3 linked regions of the Arabidopsis thaliana genome follow. Each later gene encodes a partner of the first gene's protein in a complex. Each region holds a gene or a part of one and is shown in the gene's direction. Other genes may lie near its edges. The genes, in order: CAO, CPSRP54 and ALB3.

Evidence for each region.
Region 2: the proteins of CAO (region 1) and CPSRP54 are in contact, whole or in part, in an NMR structure (PDB 2HUG), measured with the Arabidopsis thaliana proteins. Residues at the interface, in NP_566101.1 of Arabidopsis thaliana: Glu268 (codon at 2,949), Tyr269 (codon at 2,952), Ala270 (codon at 2,955), Glu271 (codon at 2,958), Val272 (codon at 2,961), Lys283 (codon at 2,994), Val289 (codon at 3,012), Trp291 (codon at 3,018), Glu298 (codon at 3,039), Trp299 (codon at 3,042), Val300 (codon at 3,045), Lys301 (codon at 3,048), His304 (codon at 3,057), Val305 (codon at 3,060), Ala306 (codon at 3,063), Val309 (codon at 3,072); in NP_196014.1 of Arabidopsis thaliana: Pro532 (codon at 4,981), Gly533 (codon at 4,984), Thr534 (codon at 4,987), Ala535 (codon at 4,990), Arg536 (codon at 4,993), Arg537 (codon at 4,996), Arg539 (codon at 5,002), Lys540 (codon at 5,005), Ala541 (codon at 5,008), Asp542 (codon at 5,011), Ser543 (codon at 5,014).
Region 3: the proteins of CAO (region 1) and ALB3 are in contact, whole or in part, in a crystal structure (PDB 5E4W), measured with the Arabidopsis thaliana proteins. Residues at the interface, in NP_566101.1 of Arabidopsis thaliana: Asp273 (codon at 2,964), Glu274 (codon at 2,967), Asp312 (codon at 3,081), Tyr313 (codon at 3,084), Gly316 (codon at 3,093), Leu317 (codon at 3,096), Glu318 (codon at 3,099), Tyr319 (codon at 3,102), Ala320 (codon at 3,105), Val321 (codon at 3,108), Ala322 (codon at 3,111), Trp343 (codon at 3,174), Asp345 (codon at 3,180), Met346 (codon at 3,183), Thr350 (codon at 3,195), Glu352 (codon at 3,201), Asn356 (codon at 3,213), Asp358 (codon at 3,219); in NP_180446.1 of Arabidopsis thaliana: Lys454 (codon at 4,547), Arg455 (codon at 4,550), Ser456 (codon at 4,553), Lys457 (codon at 4,556), Arg458 (codon at 4,559), Lys459 (codon at 4,562), Arg460 (codon at 4,565), Thr461 (codon at 4,568).

Annotation. Positions count from the first base shown.
Region 1 is NC_003071.7:19,470,634-19,474,969, forward strand, and holds CAO (chloroplast signal recognition particle component (CAO)), read left to right. Parts: upstream 1-1,939; 5' UTR 1,940-2,147; coding exon 2,148-3,269; 3' UTR 3,270-3,754; downstream 3,755-4,336. Other genes in the region: AT2G47440 (Tetratricopeptide repeat (TPR)-like superfamily protein), read left to right, coding at 1-1,027.
Region 2 is NC_003076.8:1,059,509-1,065,346, reverse strand, and holds CPSRP54 (chloroplast signal recognition particle 54 kDa subunit), read left to right. Parts: upstream 1-1,921; 5' UTR 1,922-2,089; coding exon 2,090-2,239; intron 2,240-2,338; coding exon 2,339-2,474; intron 2,475-2,656; coding exon 2,657-2,724; intron 2,725-2,796; coding exon 2,797-2,898; intron 2,899-3,026; coding exon 3,027-3,179; intron 3,180-3,260; coding exon 3,261-3,338; intron 3,339-3,424; coding exon 3,425-3,550; intron 3,551-3,627; coding exon 3,628-3,730; intron 3,731-3,848; coding exon 3,849-3,949; intron 3,950-4,041; coding exon 4,042-4,179; intron 4,180-4,271; coding exon 4,272-4,491; intron 4,492-4,589; coding exon 4,590-4,675; intron 4,676-4,766; coding exon 4,767-4,892; intron 4,893-4,974; coding exon 4,975-5,082; 3' UTR 5,083-5,241; downstream 5,242-5,838. Other genes in the region: AT5G03944 (uncharacterized protein), read left to right, coding at 539-736; AT5G03930 (F-box protein), read right to left, coding at 5,304-5,838.
Region 3 is NC_003071.7:12,355,730-12,361,244, reverse strand, and holds ALB3 (63 kDa inner membrane family protein), read left to right. Parts: upstream 1-1,676; 5' UTR 1,677-2,086; coding exon 2,087-2,461; intron 2,462-2,549; coding exon 2,550-2,660; intron 2,661-2,770; coding exon 2,771-2,845; intron 2,846-2,922; coding exon 2,923-2,983; intron 2,984-3,067; coding exon 3,068-3,141; intron 3,142-3,242; coding exon 3,243-3,347; intron 3,348-3,488; coding exon 3,489-3,596; intron 3,597-3,688; coding exon 3,689-3,792; coding exon of another isoform or gene 3,793-3,826; exon of another isoform or gene 3,827-4,100; coding exon 4,101-4,250; intron 4,251-4,350; coding exon 4,351-4,576; 3' UTR 4,577-4,924; downstream 4,925-5,515. UniProt on the Arabidopsis thaliana protein: Required for the insertion of some light harvesting chlorophyll-binding proteins (LHCP) into the chloroplast thylakoid membrane.

The DNA of each region.
Region 1 (4,336 bases):
CTGGTCCGACGATAGCTTCCTTCTCCTCTCCGAATCCTCCTCTGCTTCTTCTCCACCACCCGAGAGCGAGAACTTCACCCATCTCCTCGCTCACATCAAGCTTCTTCTCCGTCGTCGCGCCGCTGCAATCGCCGCTCTCGACGCTGGACTGTTCTCCGAGTCGATCCGTCACTTCTCCAAGATCGTCGATGGCCGTCGCCCTGCGCCTCAAGGATTCCTCGCCGAATGCTACATGCATCGAGCCGCCGCTTATAGATCCGCCGGTAGAATCGCGGAAGCGATCGCCGATTGCAATAAAACCCTAGCTCTTGAACCCTCGTGTATCCAGGCGTTAGAAACCAGAGCCGCGCTTCTAGAAACGGTCAGGTGTTTTCCAGATTCGCTTCACGATCTAGAACACTTGAAGCTTCTCTACAACACCATTTTACGCGATCGGAAGCTTCCGGGTCCGGTGTGGAAGCGGCACAACGTGAAATACAGAGAGATTCCTGGGAAATTGTGCGTTTTGACAACGAAAACGCAGAAACTTAAGCAGAAAATCGCAAACGGAGAAACTGGGAATGTCGATTATTACGGCTTGATCGGAGTCAGACGCGGATGCACCAGATCGGAGCTCGATCGAGCTCATCTATTGCTATGTCTCAGATACAAACCCGATAGAGCCTCTTCTTTCATCGAACGGTGCGAGTTCACCGATCAAAACGACGTCGATTCGGTTAGAGATCGAGCCAAAATGTCGTCTCTGTTGCTTTACCGTTTGATTCAGAAAGGATACACCGCCGTGACAGCGATCATAGCCGAGGAGCAGAGGAAGAACGCCATTGCTCACGCTCAAAAGATTGAAGAACGCAAACCGGTTGAAAAATCCGGTTCTATTAAGAGAACCGGAAACGCTGAAACGAAACCGGTAAATTCCAATGCGTACCAAGGAGTATTCTGTAGAGATCTCGCTGCGGTTGGGAATCTACTAACCAGGGCTGGTTTCAACCATCCAATCCCGGTTAAATACGAAGCGCTCACCTGCTAAAAAATATTGAACCGAATTTTTTATCCTACCATGTCAGCCACTGGAAACGTCGTCGTTTCCGTAGATTCGTCTTCGGACAGAAAAACAAATCATTCAGCCGTCAAAAAAGAAAATAAAATAAGAAAATATATATACATTTGATGTATGAATACAAATGAAACAATGTATTTAGGTTTGGAAGATTATTCCAACTACAAGAAAATTTTGTCACTTTACTTTTATCTTCAATGTTCGTCTCCTTTGTTTCTTCTTCATCTTCATGTGCATATAAAACGACAGAAGCTTGATTTGCACGTAAATTAAAATACTAGTATCAAAACTTTTTTTTTCATTTTATTATCAAAATTATCTCTTAAGCTATTGAGCACTAATTTATTTTTTATTATTGAGTTCTCGAGATTTGCCTAGAAATAGTCGATGAGTCTGGCTCACGTCAGTAATATTCGGATGAGTCCTTATCTATAAAGTTTGGCTGCCATTTGATGGTATTGGGATGATTAATTTAATTAGGCAAATAAAATATAGATGGTGAAAACTAAATAAAAACTATTCACTTGCTGTATAATAATGTTAATACTCATATCATGTAAATCACTGAAGTGCAAATTCAAAAAAAAAAAAAAAAAAAAATGGTCTGCTTGCCATTTAAAGATGTTTAAAGATGGAGTAAGTATATATACACAAGTCGTAAAATCAAACACAAATAATATATTGACAAACTCATATATCATAATGTATACATACCAATTTAAATCCACAAGAAAATATCATATGAATGAGAAAACCAACCACATTTACAATTTTACTCATATTTATTTTATTGTTTTATATTTTTCTTTTCTTTTTGATGAGAATGTCTTAACACAATTATCTAGTATATAAAGATTTTTTCCAAAAAATAGAAGAACCTGTTGATTTTCTAAAAGTAGAAGAAAATAAGTGCAGTCCATAAAATAAAATCCTATAAAAATGTTAAAACTAGATTCTTTTTTAAAAAACTAAAATTTGCTGCAGACATCTAAAATTTTCGAAAATGATTGGGTGGCTAAGATTTCTTATCCACTAGAAAATCCAGTGAGTCCCGTTAACTCTCTTCTCTTCTCTAGTCTTGTCTTCTATTATGCAAAAGGTCTTCTTGGCCATGGATACTTGTGCTCTAGTAATCCATCAGTCTCTGTCTCGCATCAAACTTTCTCCTCCCAAATCTTCTTCTTCTTCTTCTTCTGCTTTCTCCCCTGAATCCTTACCGATCAGACGGATCGAGCTGTGTTTCCGAGGAGCTATATGTGCCGCCGTACAAAGAAACTACGAAGAAACGACCTCCTCCGTGGAAGAGGCAGAGGAAGATGATGAGTCATCATCATCGTACGGAGAAGTGAACAAGATCATTGGAAGCCGAACGGCGGGGGAAGGAGCCATGGAGTACCTTATCGAGTGGAAGGACGGCCATTCTCCGTCGTGGGTTCCATCGAGCTACATCGCAGCAGACGTAGTGTCGGAGTACGAGACACCCTGGTGGACGGCAGCTAGAAAAGCCGACGAGCAGGCCCTGTCACAGCTCCTGGAGGACCGAGACGTCGATGCCGTGGACGAAAACGGCCGGACGGCTCTGCTTTTCGTGGCAGGTCTGGGGTCGGACAAGTGCGTAAGGCTTCTGGCGGAGGCTGGAGCCGATCTCGACCACCGAGACATGAGGGGAGGCTTGACGGCGCTGCACATGGCGGCTGGTTACGTGAGGCCGGAGGTGGTGGAGGCGCTGGTGGAGCTGGGAGCTGATATTGAAGTGGAAGACGAGAGAGGGTTAACGGCGTTGGAACTAGCGAGGGAGATTCTGAAGACGACGCCGAAGGGGAATCCGATGCAGTTCGGGAGGAGAATTGGGTTAGAGAAAGTGATCAATGTCCTGGAAGGACAAGTGTTCGAGTACGCCGAGGTGGATGAGATCGTAGAGAAACGAGGGAAAGGCAAAGACGTTGAATATCTGGTCAGATGGAAGGACGGTGGAGATTGCGAGTGGGTGAAAGGTGTACACGTGGCGGAAGATGTGGCTAAGGACTACGAGGATGGGCTGGAGTACGCTGTAGCGGAGAGTGTGATCGGGAAGAGGGTGGGAGACGATGGGAAGACCATCGAGTATCTTGTCAAATGGACTGATATGTCTGATGCCACTTGGGAGCCTCAGGACAATGTCGACTCTACTCTTGTTCTACTCTACCAACAACAACAACCAATGAATGAATGATTGATTTTGATGATTACATTCTTCTCAATTTGCTTCTTTCTCATATGTGTTGGTTCATCTGACCGGTTCGGTTGGTACGTACCGGTACATTTTCATTTTCTTTTAAGATGTGATCTTGATGGTTTTTGGCCTTTTGGGGACACTATTTGATTTTATATCCATGCTTTGAATTTTGCTTCCCTTTTTGGGGAGATTCATGATGCTGGCTGACTTGCTCTTTATCGTCCCAGGTTTAGAGAATACATCGTCTTAGGCTTTTCTTTATCTCAAAACCCATTTACATTTAATTGGGCCTATATATTTCATATAGGAAGAGAGTACATGTAAACCCAATACACAACTTTTATTTATGGGTCCGTTTCTTGTAACATTTGTTGGTGATAAAAACAACTTCTGAAGAGTGATAATGTACAACTGCACTTTGCGATTAAGGAAATTATAGAAAGATACAAAGTCTGAATAAATGACTAGAAAATATGAATAAGTAGTATCCATTCTTCTCTAATTCAACATCATTTTTTTTTTTTTTTTTTTTTGACGATATTCGATGCATTGTGTCTATATGAGAGAAATTTTGGTTTGTCAGTTAATGGCTAGACTTTTATTATTATGAGCATCTAGATTTTCAGTGCATGTGATGTTACGTTGATGATGGACATAAGGAGACAAAAAGGACGGAGTTGATTTAGTACACATTTTCGTTTCTTTGTGAATACAACGATCGCCTATTTTTCGTTTGTAATTTTCCTCTTAATTCGAGAGGGGCCTCTAGTCATGTGTGTTACTTCTAGTTATAGTGACATGAACGGATGAGAAAAGTTTCTTTTTGTAAACAACATGCGTACGTAAATCAACCAAATATATTTAGTATAACAACCAAATTACTGTTGGACAACCAACCAAACAACAATTATGTAGATTATAGATTAGAGAAAACAAGGAACTAGGTCGATTAACCGCGACCACATTAGCCAAGTCCTCCAGTCGATTAATATAAATTGATGCCAAATATATTAGTTTTCACTGGGTTTTATATTATACTATCAGACCACAGAAGACATCACGTC
Region 2 (5,838 bases), on another chromosome or scaffold:
CTTAAAAAAGGAAAGTTTGTTACCCGAACCATGTATAGCTGTTAGATTATCACCTAACCGTGTATAACGGCTAGATTATCACCGAACCTAAGGTTGGTGTTTTGCTCTGGGCTTTAAACAAACCCTAAGTGAAAAGGAAAAAGGAAACTTGAGTCTCAAACAAATAAGTTTATAAATACCTGCGTCTCGCGTCTTCTATCTCCACGAGTTAAAAGATGCAATTTCTCTGATTAGCTTTATTATCAATTCTCTTCTTCGATATCTGTCTGCTTCAAGATGATGATGCTCTGATTCTTTCTTCGCCCTTCGTTTAGAAAGAATCATTCCACAAGTCAAAGCCCAAGAAAGACTCATACATATACAACGGATCTCTGTTCACTTGTTATAGCTACGAAGAAGACGAGAGAGAGAGATCATCACACACGCAAGCATCACGTCTCGTATAAACGACGGAGGATATTCACTTCGCCGTCAATTTGGGACCACATCTCACCGTAGAAAGAGAGAGCGAGACGATTCGAAGGAGTTAAAGGCTTACATGTCGCCGGGATTTAAGGCTTTTGGATTCATGATGTTGGAGGTTTTCTCCGCGATGGAGATTGAGCAGGTGGAGGGATCGTCGGAGATTGGGGGATTCGTTTTTCCGGTAACGGTTACTGATGATCGCATGTGCTCTCAGATGGTCGATGTGTTCTCGGAGGCCCAACACAAACAATTTCAGCCCATCAAACAATGAGCCCCATTGTCAGGTTATTTCGCAACTCATTTTCTTGTTTAATTTAGAAATTAATATATTTTTAATTAAAGGGTTTTTCCTCAGTGATGTCGAAAAAAAGGGTTTTTTCTCATTAATTTTTAAAAAATCTTTTGCAATTTTTATTCAAGTTTTTGTTTAAACTTTAAGTTTTTTTTTTATTTTTGAAGTAATATTTTAGATCAAGTGTTTTATTTTTAAAATATACATAATATTTTTGTTTTAAATGTTAAATTTTAGTATGTGTAAACTAATTGGACACAACATCCCGTCCATAATATGAGATCCTTAAGCGGTGTTCTAGGTTTAATATGTTTACATATATATAAATGTTTAACAATTTTTTATTTTAAAAAAATTTTAAATTTGTATTTTTTCTACCACTATTTAAACTTTAATATTTTTTTTATTTCTAATTAATATTTTAGATAAAATAATTTTTATATATACATAGTATGTTTTTTGTTTTTAAGTGTTAAATTTTAAATATGTGTAAACTAAATGAATACAACATCCCGTCCATAATATAAGGTCCTTAAGCGGTGTTCTAGGTTCAATATGTTATACACATCTTTAAATTTTAACATTTTTTATATTTTAAAATATATTAAGTTGTATTTTTCATATCACTATTTAAAATTTAAGGTTTTTGTTTTTGTTTTTGTTTTTGTTTTTATACAAAATATTTTTGTTTTAAATGTTAAATTTTAATTATGTGTAAACTAATTGGACACAATATCTTGTCCATAATATGAGGTCCTTAAGCGGTGTTCTAAATTCAATATGTTTATACATATAATTTTTTTACATTTTAAAAAAAATAAATTAAAATTTGCAATTTTTTACCACTATTAAAAGTTTTTTAATTTTTGAAAAATATATATAATAGTAAAAATACTTAAAAATATCTAAAAATAACCGAAACACCAGAAAATATCTAAAACAATGGATACTAAATTTTAAAACTGAAAGAAGTGGAACCAAACTGAACTAAATTTTAAAATATTCAAATAAACTTTATAATCGAAAGAACCGAAATCGAGTGGAACCGAACCGATAACCGATTGGGTAATCGCGGAGGATTACTTTCAAGAAGAGATTCGTGATCTTAGCCGTACACTTGTCGGGATCTGAGCCGCGCCTGTAAGGAGAAAGAGAGAGATGGTTCTAGTTTTAAAATGCAGCGTTTTGTGGAAAGCTCACCATCGACGGTCTGTTACTGGGCCACGTCATCGAAACGGATAAAATGGAACCATCCAAAAGGAAGATAGAAGTACCAAGAAGATTGCGGAGAGTCGTGAAAAGTTTTGAGCTTTGATCACTCACTCACTAGTAATGGAGGCTCTTCAATTTTCCAGCGTGAATAGAGTTCCTTGTACTCTGAGCTGTACCGGAAATAGGAGAATTAAGGCTGCCTTCAGCTCTGCGTTCACCGGTGGCACCATCAATTCAGCTTCTCTGTCCTCCTCTAGGAATCTCTCCACGGTTTGGCTTCAAAGTTTGCTTCTTTTCGTTTTTTAGTTTGGTGGTTTTGTAAGATTTTCTGGTTATTTAGTCTTGTTTGTGATGTTCTGTGTTGAGTAGCGAGAGATATGGAGTTGGGTGAAATCGAAGACTGTTGTTGGCCATGGAAGATACAGAAGAAGCCAAGTGAGAGCCGAGATGTTTGGTCAGTTGACTGGTGGCCTCGAGGCTGCTTGGAGCAAACTCAAAGGCGAAGGTTCGGTTTTTTTCTTTCTTATTTCGTTGCCCGTGAGCTCAAATTAGGAGGAATGAATAGAGACTAAGTTTTATTGATGTATTCAATGAAGAAAACTTTGTAGTTAAGAGTAGTGTTTGCTATTAGAAGATGCAGAAAAGATGAGCACGGGTTTAAGCTAGTTACGTTATTTGAACTTGCAGAGGTCTTGACTAAGGACAATATTGCTGAGCCAATGCGGGATATCAGAAGAGCTCTCCTGGAAGCAGATGTGAGTGGTGTTTTATTCTGTTTCATTTAGGTTCTTGTGAAGAATGTGGTATAAAAGTAATTTTGTTAACAGGTGAGTCTCCCAGTTGTTAGAAGGTTTGTTCAGTCTGTTAGTGACCAAGCCGTTGGAATGGGTGTCATTCGTGGAGTCAAACCAGATCAGCAATTGGTCAAGGTAATTAGCAATAAAACCGGTTCTTGTTTTTGTTTCATTAGCATAATGGTTTGATATTTGATTCACTCTATGATGATCATTTTGGTATCAATAGTACTCAAGTGTGGCTTATCATGGCTTTATTGCAGATTGTACATGATGAGCTAGTGAAATTGATGGGTGGAGAAGTATCTGAGTTACAGTTTGCTAAATCAGGTCCTACAGTAATATTGTTGGCTGGGCTCCAAGGAGTTGGAAAGACAACGGTTTGTGCTAAACTAGCTTGTTACCTAAAGAAGCAGGTATGAATACAGTGGAGATTTTGATGGGATTGTTTGTTACTACTTTCTGTCAATGACACTGACTAATAATGATGTTTACAGGGAAAATCTTGCATGCTTATTGCTGGAGATGTATACCGACCTGCTGCTATCGATCAACTTGTCATTTTAGGTGAACAGGTATTGAAATGGCTTAACCTCTGTGTGAATATGTGATGATATTTGATTCCGGAAATCAATATTCCCTGATGCCCTCTTTGTGTCAGGTTGGTGTGCCGGTTTATACAGCAGGGACTGATGTAAAACCTGCAGATATAGCTAAGCAAGGTCTAAAAGAAGCTAAAAAGAACAATGTTGATGTAGTTATTATGGATACTGCAGGGAGGCTTCAGGTAATGTTTCGTCTTTAAGAGTCATTGTATCATAAATCTATTGCAGCTTCAGTCATGAAATTGCCTCTTTGTGACAGATAGATAAAGGCATGATGGACGAATTAAAAGACGTGAAGAAATTTCTGAATCCAACAGAAGTGTTACTAGTTGTTGATGCCATGACTGGACAAGAAGCTGCAGGTACGCTGTTTCTATTTTACCTTTGTCAAGAAGATTCGAGACATCCTGAAAATGGATTAGATTCAAAACCGTAGCTGTATCGGTCATATACTAAGATGAGCTTCTGTACTTCCTACAGCACTGGTGACGACATTCAATGTAGAGATAGGAATTACAGGAGCCATTTTGACAAAGCTAGATGGTGATTCAAGAGGTGGTGCTGCTTTGAGTGTCAAGGAGGTTTGTTTTCTTCTTCTTTAATCAATTATTTTATAGAAATTTACTTAATGTTGCTCAACATTGATAGTTTACACTTAAATGGGTGTTACTAGGTATCAGGAAAACCGATTAAACTGGTAGGACGTGGAGAGCGAATGGAGGATCTTGAACCCTTTTATCCAGATCGAATGGCTGGACGAATTCTAGGAATGGGAGATGTGCTTTCATTTGTAGAGAAGGCAACAGAAGTTGTAAGTTCTTTCTCAGTAAAATTACAATCAAAACTATGTTTTCCTCTCCCTCTCTCTCTATCCATTGAGGCCTTCTTCATCTGTCTTTATAGATGCGTCAAGAAGATGCAGAAGATCTGCAGAAGAAGATAATGAGTGCAAAGTTCGACTTCAACGATTTTCTAAAGCAGACTCGTGCTGTAGCGAAAATGGGTTCGATGACACGAGTTCTTGGAATGATTCCCGGAATGGGGAAAGTGAGTCCAGCACAAATCCGAGAAGCGGAAAAGAATCTTTTAGTCATGGAAGCAATGATTGAAGTGATGACACCCGGTTTGTCTCTGTTCCTTTCTTCCATTCCATTAAATAAACAAGCATTTCATAAACTAGATTTTGGTTGTCTAATTCTTGGTTTAAATCTGTTGGAACAGAGGAAAGAGAGAGACCAGAGTTACTAGCAGAATCTCCAGAGAGAAGAAAAAGAATCGCTAAAGATTCAGGAAAGACAGAACAACAGGTACTCTCGCTCAGATTGTGAGCTTAGTTTTGTGCAGATCTCAGACAAGAAGAAGGAGATTCTCAATACCATTTTGTTGTTGTTGGTTCAGGTGAGCGCACTTGTAGCACAAATCTTCCAAATGAGAGTGAAAATGAAGAACTTGATGGGAGTGATGGAAGGAGGATCAATTCCAGCATTAAGCGGTCTCGAGGACGCATTGAAAGCAGAACAAAAGGTTTCTTCCATTTCTTCTTCTTCTTCTTCTTCATCTTTAACATGTACCAGAGTTTAATGGGGTCTTGTAAATGTATCTTAAGGCTCCACCTGGAACTGCAAGGAGGAAGAGAAAGGCAGACTCAAGGAAGAAATTTGTAGAGTCAGCATCAAGCAAGCCTGGTCCTCGTGGCTTCGGCTCTGGTAACTAAAACTATTTCAGCCCAATTTGGTTAATTTCTAAACGGATTATTTTTTTGTATAAGTTAATGAATGAGACAGAAACCTTACAAGTTAATTACCAATTTGTTGACAAAACTCATGATTATCTAGGTAGAAATATATTCTTATTTAAATATCATATAATCGACCAAACAAAATGCATACAAATTGTACTTTTAAATATTTCATAGGCTTTGCATAACTAAAATACTTAGATTTTAGATGGGAAAAAACATTGAAGATAACCAAGAGTATCGTCTTGGGAAAAATATCTCCCCTCGCCTCGGTGGAATATCTGGAGGTCGATCTTGTCCAATAACTCGCTGTTGAAACTCAGCTGGATTTCGGCTGTTAGACCACGATGAGCTAGTGGAGCAAGAAGATCGTTGTTCAGCCATCCAAAGTTTGTGCCTAATGGCCTTTCAGCATTAACGATTCTAACTACCGCCTCGTCTTCCGAGTCTTCCTTATAAATGACCTCGCACTCGATCTTTACACCAGCCATTCTAGACTTGGAGATTCCCATATGGCTCAAGTTTTCGACTTGTATATGGAATCGATCATTGGAGCCACACTCTAGCTCCGCGCCACATTTCTTAAGTGGTATCTCCTCACAACTTATGGTAGAAGATGATAGCTTTTCTCGGGTAGTTACGTAAATGACAAAGGTGAGATCCGACAAGGAAATTTTGGGTTTGGTAAGTTTCACTTCCTTAGCTCCGGAATGTTCTCCTTCTTTGGCCATC
Region 3 (5,515 bases), 7.1 Mb from region 1:
ATTTATTGCTTTATGAGCTTCTTTCTCGTCCAAACATTCTTAAAAACAATAGTGAAAGTCTCGATTACGAATTCAATATGACTACGTTCAATTTCATATATCGCTTTCCATTCTAATTTTTTAAGATTTGGCATAGGTGTACTAATCATTTGCTTCATCTGCCGAACAAATTTTCATAATTACTTTTTTAAAGAACGCATATGCGGTTATAATTTGTACCACTCTTAACTTTGCATATGAATTTACTTAATTACTTATGCACCCATTAATCAATGGAAGCCCGAGGTAATATGCAACCTGATTAAAAAATATTACGTTATTATTCTGATGGTCCGTACATACAAATATTACTTTTTATAATTTTCCTATGTATCCTTTGTATATGAATTGAAAAGCATTTTAGAGAAATAATTTCTATTTAGTAACAAATTAATGAGTTATTACCCATAAATTATTCTTACGTCTCCATCAAAAAGTGAGTTTAGCCTTGAAAGTTCTGTGTCGACGTCGTTATGTTATAAAACAATAAATACGAACTCTTAATCGTTCGTTGTCATATAAAATTAAGAAAAAAATACAACATCATCATTTTTTTTATTTTTTTTGTCAAACTTACAACATCATCATTTCTATCAAAAATTTATGTTAAAAAACAAATTATGAAATAAATAATTATTTCACAACGAAAAATAATAATAACAAATATAATTATTTTCAAAACAACTTTAAATTTAATTTCTATATATAGTATTTGGTATAGGTCTATATATGATCGTGACGTGTGAAATATAATTGAGGAACGGTGGATGATTCTTGAAAACAATGTGGAAGATATTTAATTCAGTATGATGCTTAAAAAAACTCATAACGTTAGCTATGTTTTGTTGAATATTACATCACATAAACGTATGGGTGTGCACTTAGAGCGAGCCGGTGATTATAGGTTTGTTTTTTTTGGTAAAAAATTATTGAGAGATTATTGATTATAGGTTTTGAAGCTATCGATCTGAGCTAGAGATTAAGGAACGAATCCCTCTATGAACATTTAAACCTTGTTCTTTTTGCTTATTAACTGAGAGATTAGGATCCTAAAATCTATACAACACTAGAGATCATTATCCAAAAGATTTTACTTAGTCCCATTTGCGGTCACATTTAATTCCCTAAAAGCATGAAAATTCTATCCCATTTGTTTTTTCCACTAGACTTGGGACTCAAAGCGTAATTTATAACTATCTTACGTTAGAGAGCATTATTTACGACCATTATTTAGGCTGAACTCATTATAGACATCGATCAAGCTCTAGTGTTAAATACATTTTCTTTGTGGGATTAATCTTTAAAGGCCTTGTAATCACTTACTATTTCGTAAGTTATGAAGATTTGGGAACCGGATTATGGCTTTGGGAAGTTAAGTCCTATGACTCAAGCTTACCTTTTTAGGGTTGTGTATAGGTTCTCGATAAATGTTTCAGATTAGTTCATTTGTTTTTTTGTTTATAAAAACTACATAATATAAAACGTGGAAAGAAAGTGATAATGACAAGAAATAAAAGTAAGAAAGGTGGTGGTGTGAGAATCAGATTCGATGTCAACTAATTGAAAGAGAGTACGCAGCTTTTTCTTCACAATTATATATATTTTGTGGAAAAGCTTACCATACATTCACAAAGCATTCGAGATTTGATTTTTATAGAAAAGTATTTACATAAAGTATTTTCTAAATCGGTTTCTATTTTGTATGCTTTCAGTTTTATTTTGTGTTGGGGAAGTGATCCATGCATTGAGCTTGGAGATTGATGGATTGGTAATTAAGCCTATTAAGTTAAGCAGGCCTGTTTCTAAAATGGGCCCTAATAAGCCCAAACTACAAAAAGCACCGATATATCCCACGTTAGATACATGTCCACGTGGACTCCTATGACTGGATGTAATCTCCACCACGCGCGATCACCAGCTTCGTCTCTCATTTTCATTTTCCAATTTATTTTCAAAAAAAGATAAATCCAGAAAAAAATTTACAAAATAAAAAAATAAAAATCTCTATCTTCTTCTTCGTCTCTTCTCATCCTCCTCTCAAGCTCCAATGGCGAGAGTTCTAGTCTCGTCTCCATCTTCATTCTTCGGTTCACCGTTGATTAAACCGTCGTCATCTCTCCGTCACAGTGGAGTAGGAGGAGGAGGAACCGCTCAATTTCTTCCATACCGGAGTAATAATAACAAACTCTTCACTACTTCAACCACCGTACGATTCAGCTTAAACGAGATTCCTCCTTTCCATGGCTTGGATTCATCTGTAGACATCGGAGCGATTTTCACCAGAGCTGAATCTCTTCTCTATACAATAGCTGACGCCGCCGTTGTTGGTGCTGATTCCGTCGTAACTACTGATTCATCCGCCGTGCAGAAGAGTGGTGGTTGGTTTGGTTTTATCTCCGATGCTATGGAATTGGTTCTTAAGGTGAGTTTTAAGCTGCTAATTTCGATCTCTGTGTGTAGAATTCTGGAAATTGTATTTGTAGCTTAAGTTTTTTGGTTTGGATTTTTAGATTTTGAAGGATGGATTATCAGCGGTTCATGTACCTTATGCTTATGGATTTGCGATTATCTTGCTTACGATTATCGTCAAAGCAGCGACGTATCCTTTGACTAAGCAACAGGTTAGTGAGTGTGATTAGTTGAATTTTGCAGCTCCTCTTGTCACTTTGATTCAATTTTGGCATGTTGGTTGAGAATTTTTGAGCATTGCTTTTGTTTTGGAATCCTTTAGGTTGAATCAACACTAGCGATGCAAAATCTTCAACCGAAAATCAAAGCGATTCAACAACGTTACGCAGGAAATCAGGTGAGTTTCTTTGGATAGAGAATGAGTTACTTGTGGATGACGAGTCTGATTTGTTTGTTCTGTTTTTGGATATATAGGAGAGGATACAACTAGAGACATCGCGATTGTATAAACAAGCTGGTGTTAATCCGTTGGCAGGTACTTTCTTTTAGAAGTTACGAGTTTTGTATTCCCTTCCTGAATTGTGGTGACATATGCACATTATTGTTTTTTTTATGTTAGGTTGCTTACCAACTTTAGCAACCATACCAGTTTGGATTGGTTTATACCAAGCTCTCTCTAACGTGGCCAACGAGGTACATATACCTTATGTCTCTTTCAACTACTGATTTCGCTAGAGACCGGATAAGTTTGTCTCTTTCAACTACTAATTGTTCTAAAAACTTTTTTTTTGTAGGGATTGTTTACAGAAGGTTTCTTTTGGATTCCATCTCTGGGTGGACCAACATCTATAGCTGCTCGGCAGAGTGGATCCGGCATTTCGTGGCTTTTTCCGTTTGTGGTAATGGAAGAAAAAAACTTTATGTGAATACGTTTTCTCATTTGATACTTATCTTTATACTAAAAAATTTCATACAACTGAGTCTTTTGCTGTGCAATGAACCTTTATCAAATTGGTGTCTAATATCGTTCGGTGGTGCAGGACGGGCATCCACCATTGGGATGGTATGACACTGTAGCTTATCTTGTTCTACCTGTTCTACTTATTGCCTCCCAGTATGTGTCAATGGAAATTATGAAGCCTCCTCAAGTGAGAAATAAACACAAGTTTCTTTTATTTTTCCTGTTACTTAAACAATTTGATATGATTGTTCTGAAACCGAATTTAATTTCTTTTGTCAGACTGATGATCCTGCACAGAAGAATACGCTTCTTGTTTTCAAGTTTCTTCCACTCATGATCGGTTACTTTGCATTGTCTGTCCCATCAGGACTATCTATTTACTGGTTGGTTTCCCTCTCCTTGAAACTTCTCATCTAACTGTTTTATCCATGCCCTTGATCTACTCATTAAATGGAGTATAAGAAAGATTTTCTCTAGTAATTAACCTAGATGGCTTCATTCTCAAAATGTACGTAAGACGGGTTAGAATTTCGAGGAATACGAAGCTTGTTTGATAAGGAATCATCTAGTGTGACTACATTTTGTAACATCAATATTATTGTATATGACTGTGTTTATTGGTAGGATCTGAGTTTTATTTTTTCCCTTTTTATTATGCTACTGCTTATGTTAAACCATCCTATGGTTTTAGGCTCACAAATAATGTACTTAGTACCGCCCAACAAGTATATCTGCGTAAACTAGGTGGTGCAAAGCCAAATATGGATGAAAACGCAAGCAAAATAATAAGTGCGGGACGAGCAAAGAGATCTATTGCTCAGCCTGACGATGCTGGCGAAAGGTAAGTGAATCCCGAGTCTAGTGGAGATTATATCTCTCAATACGAAGCGTTTTTCTTACAAGTTTGTTATTTCTGATAAATGTATATTGGATCACAACAGATTTAGACAATTAAAAGAGCAAGAGAAGCGCAGCAAGAAGAACAAGGCGGTTGCGAAAGATACAGTTGAATTGGTAGAAGAATCTCAGTCTGAATCAGAAGAAGGGTCTGATGATGAGGAAGAAGAGGCTCGTGAAGGAGCGTTAGCTTCGAGCACAACAAGCAAGCCGCTTCCTGAGGTTGGCCAACGAAGAAGCAAAAGATCGAAGCGGAAACGCACTGTATAGAACCAAAGCAAACGAAATTGCAAGTAAGGAAGAGAAAAGAGAGAGATTTGAATCTTGTTCCTTAGTTTGATCTTTTGATATATATTTGCATACACCATGTCCGGTAATTATCTAATATTAGGGCACAAAAAGGTCATTCTAAAGTTAAAAGCAGTAGTTGATCAAAGTAAATTGTTTATGTGATTCATCTTATTATAAATGTATTAACGTAAATGTGTGTACTATTATGACTTTTCAACATGCCCGCTTCAGTTTTGTTAGCATTTCGTTGTTGTAAACTTGCAATCTATTTGTTTGGTGCTTTTATTAGCTTTGTCAGCTTATAAAAATGGTAAATGTGAATCAAGTAGTATAGTAATTTGTGCAATAAACGAGACAACGATTCCCCATGAATAAACAACAATTACTTCCTGACAAAGAAGCATTGTTCTTTGGATTGGCATGGATAAAATAGAGAGAGGTAAAAATATTACGATTTGGATTGGGCTGAGGCCCAAGATATGGTTACACGATTTTCAAATTCTCGAAGTTGTACAAGTAGACAAAAGACATCTTGTTTTGTCGTGTTGTCGTTTGGTGTTTGTCGTTTTGATGTGTTTGTCAAAGAACCCTGTTACTAATCTGAACGAATATAACTTGTCAGTGTAGCCACATTACACTAATATTCAGAGAAAGTTGTCATGTTGTTACAATCATGAGTCACATAGCATGTAATAGAGTGTACATTTCAATAGGTTTAGAAGTTTAGAACACATAAATCAATCGGTCCATCTAAAATGTTTGCATTATGGTTTACTCATTGTAACTTGTAAACATTACATATGTGAATGCTTACTATCCTAGAAAAGCAAAACTGTTGGAAACAGCTAAAAATTAATATATCTGCCTAATATTTTCAGAATATGTTATTTTTCAACCATCCGAAATAGTGCTATTTAC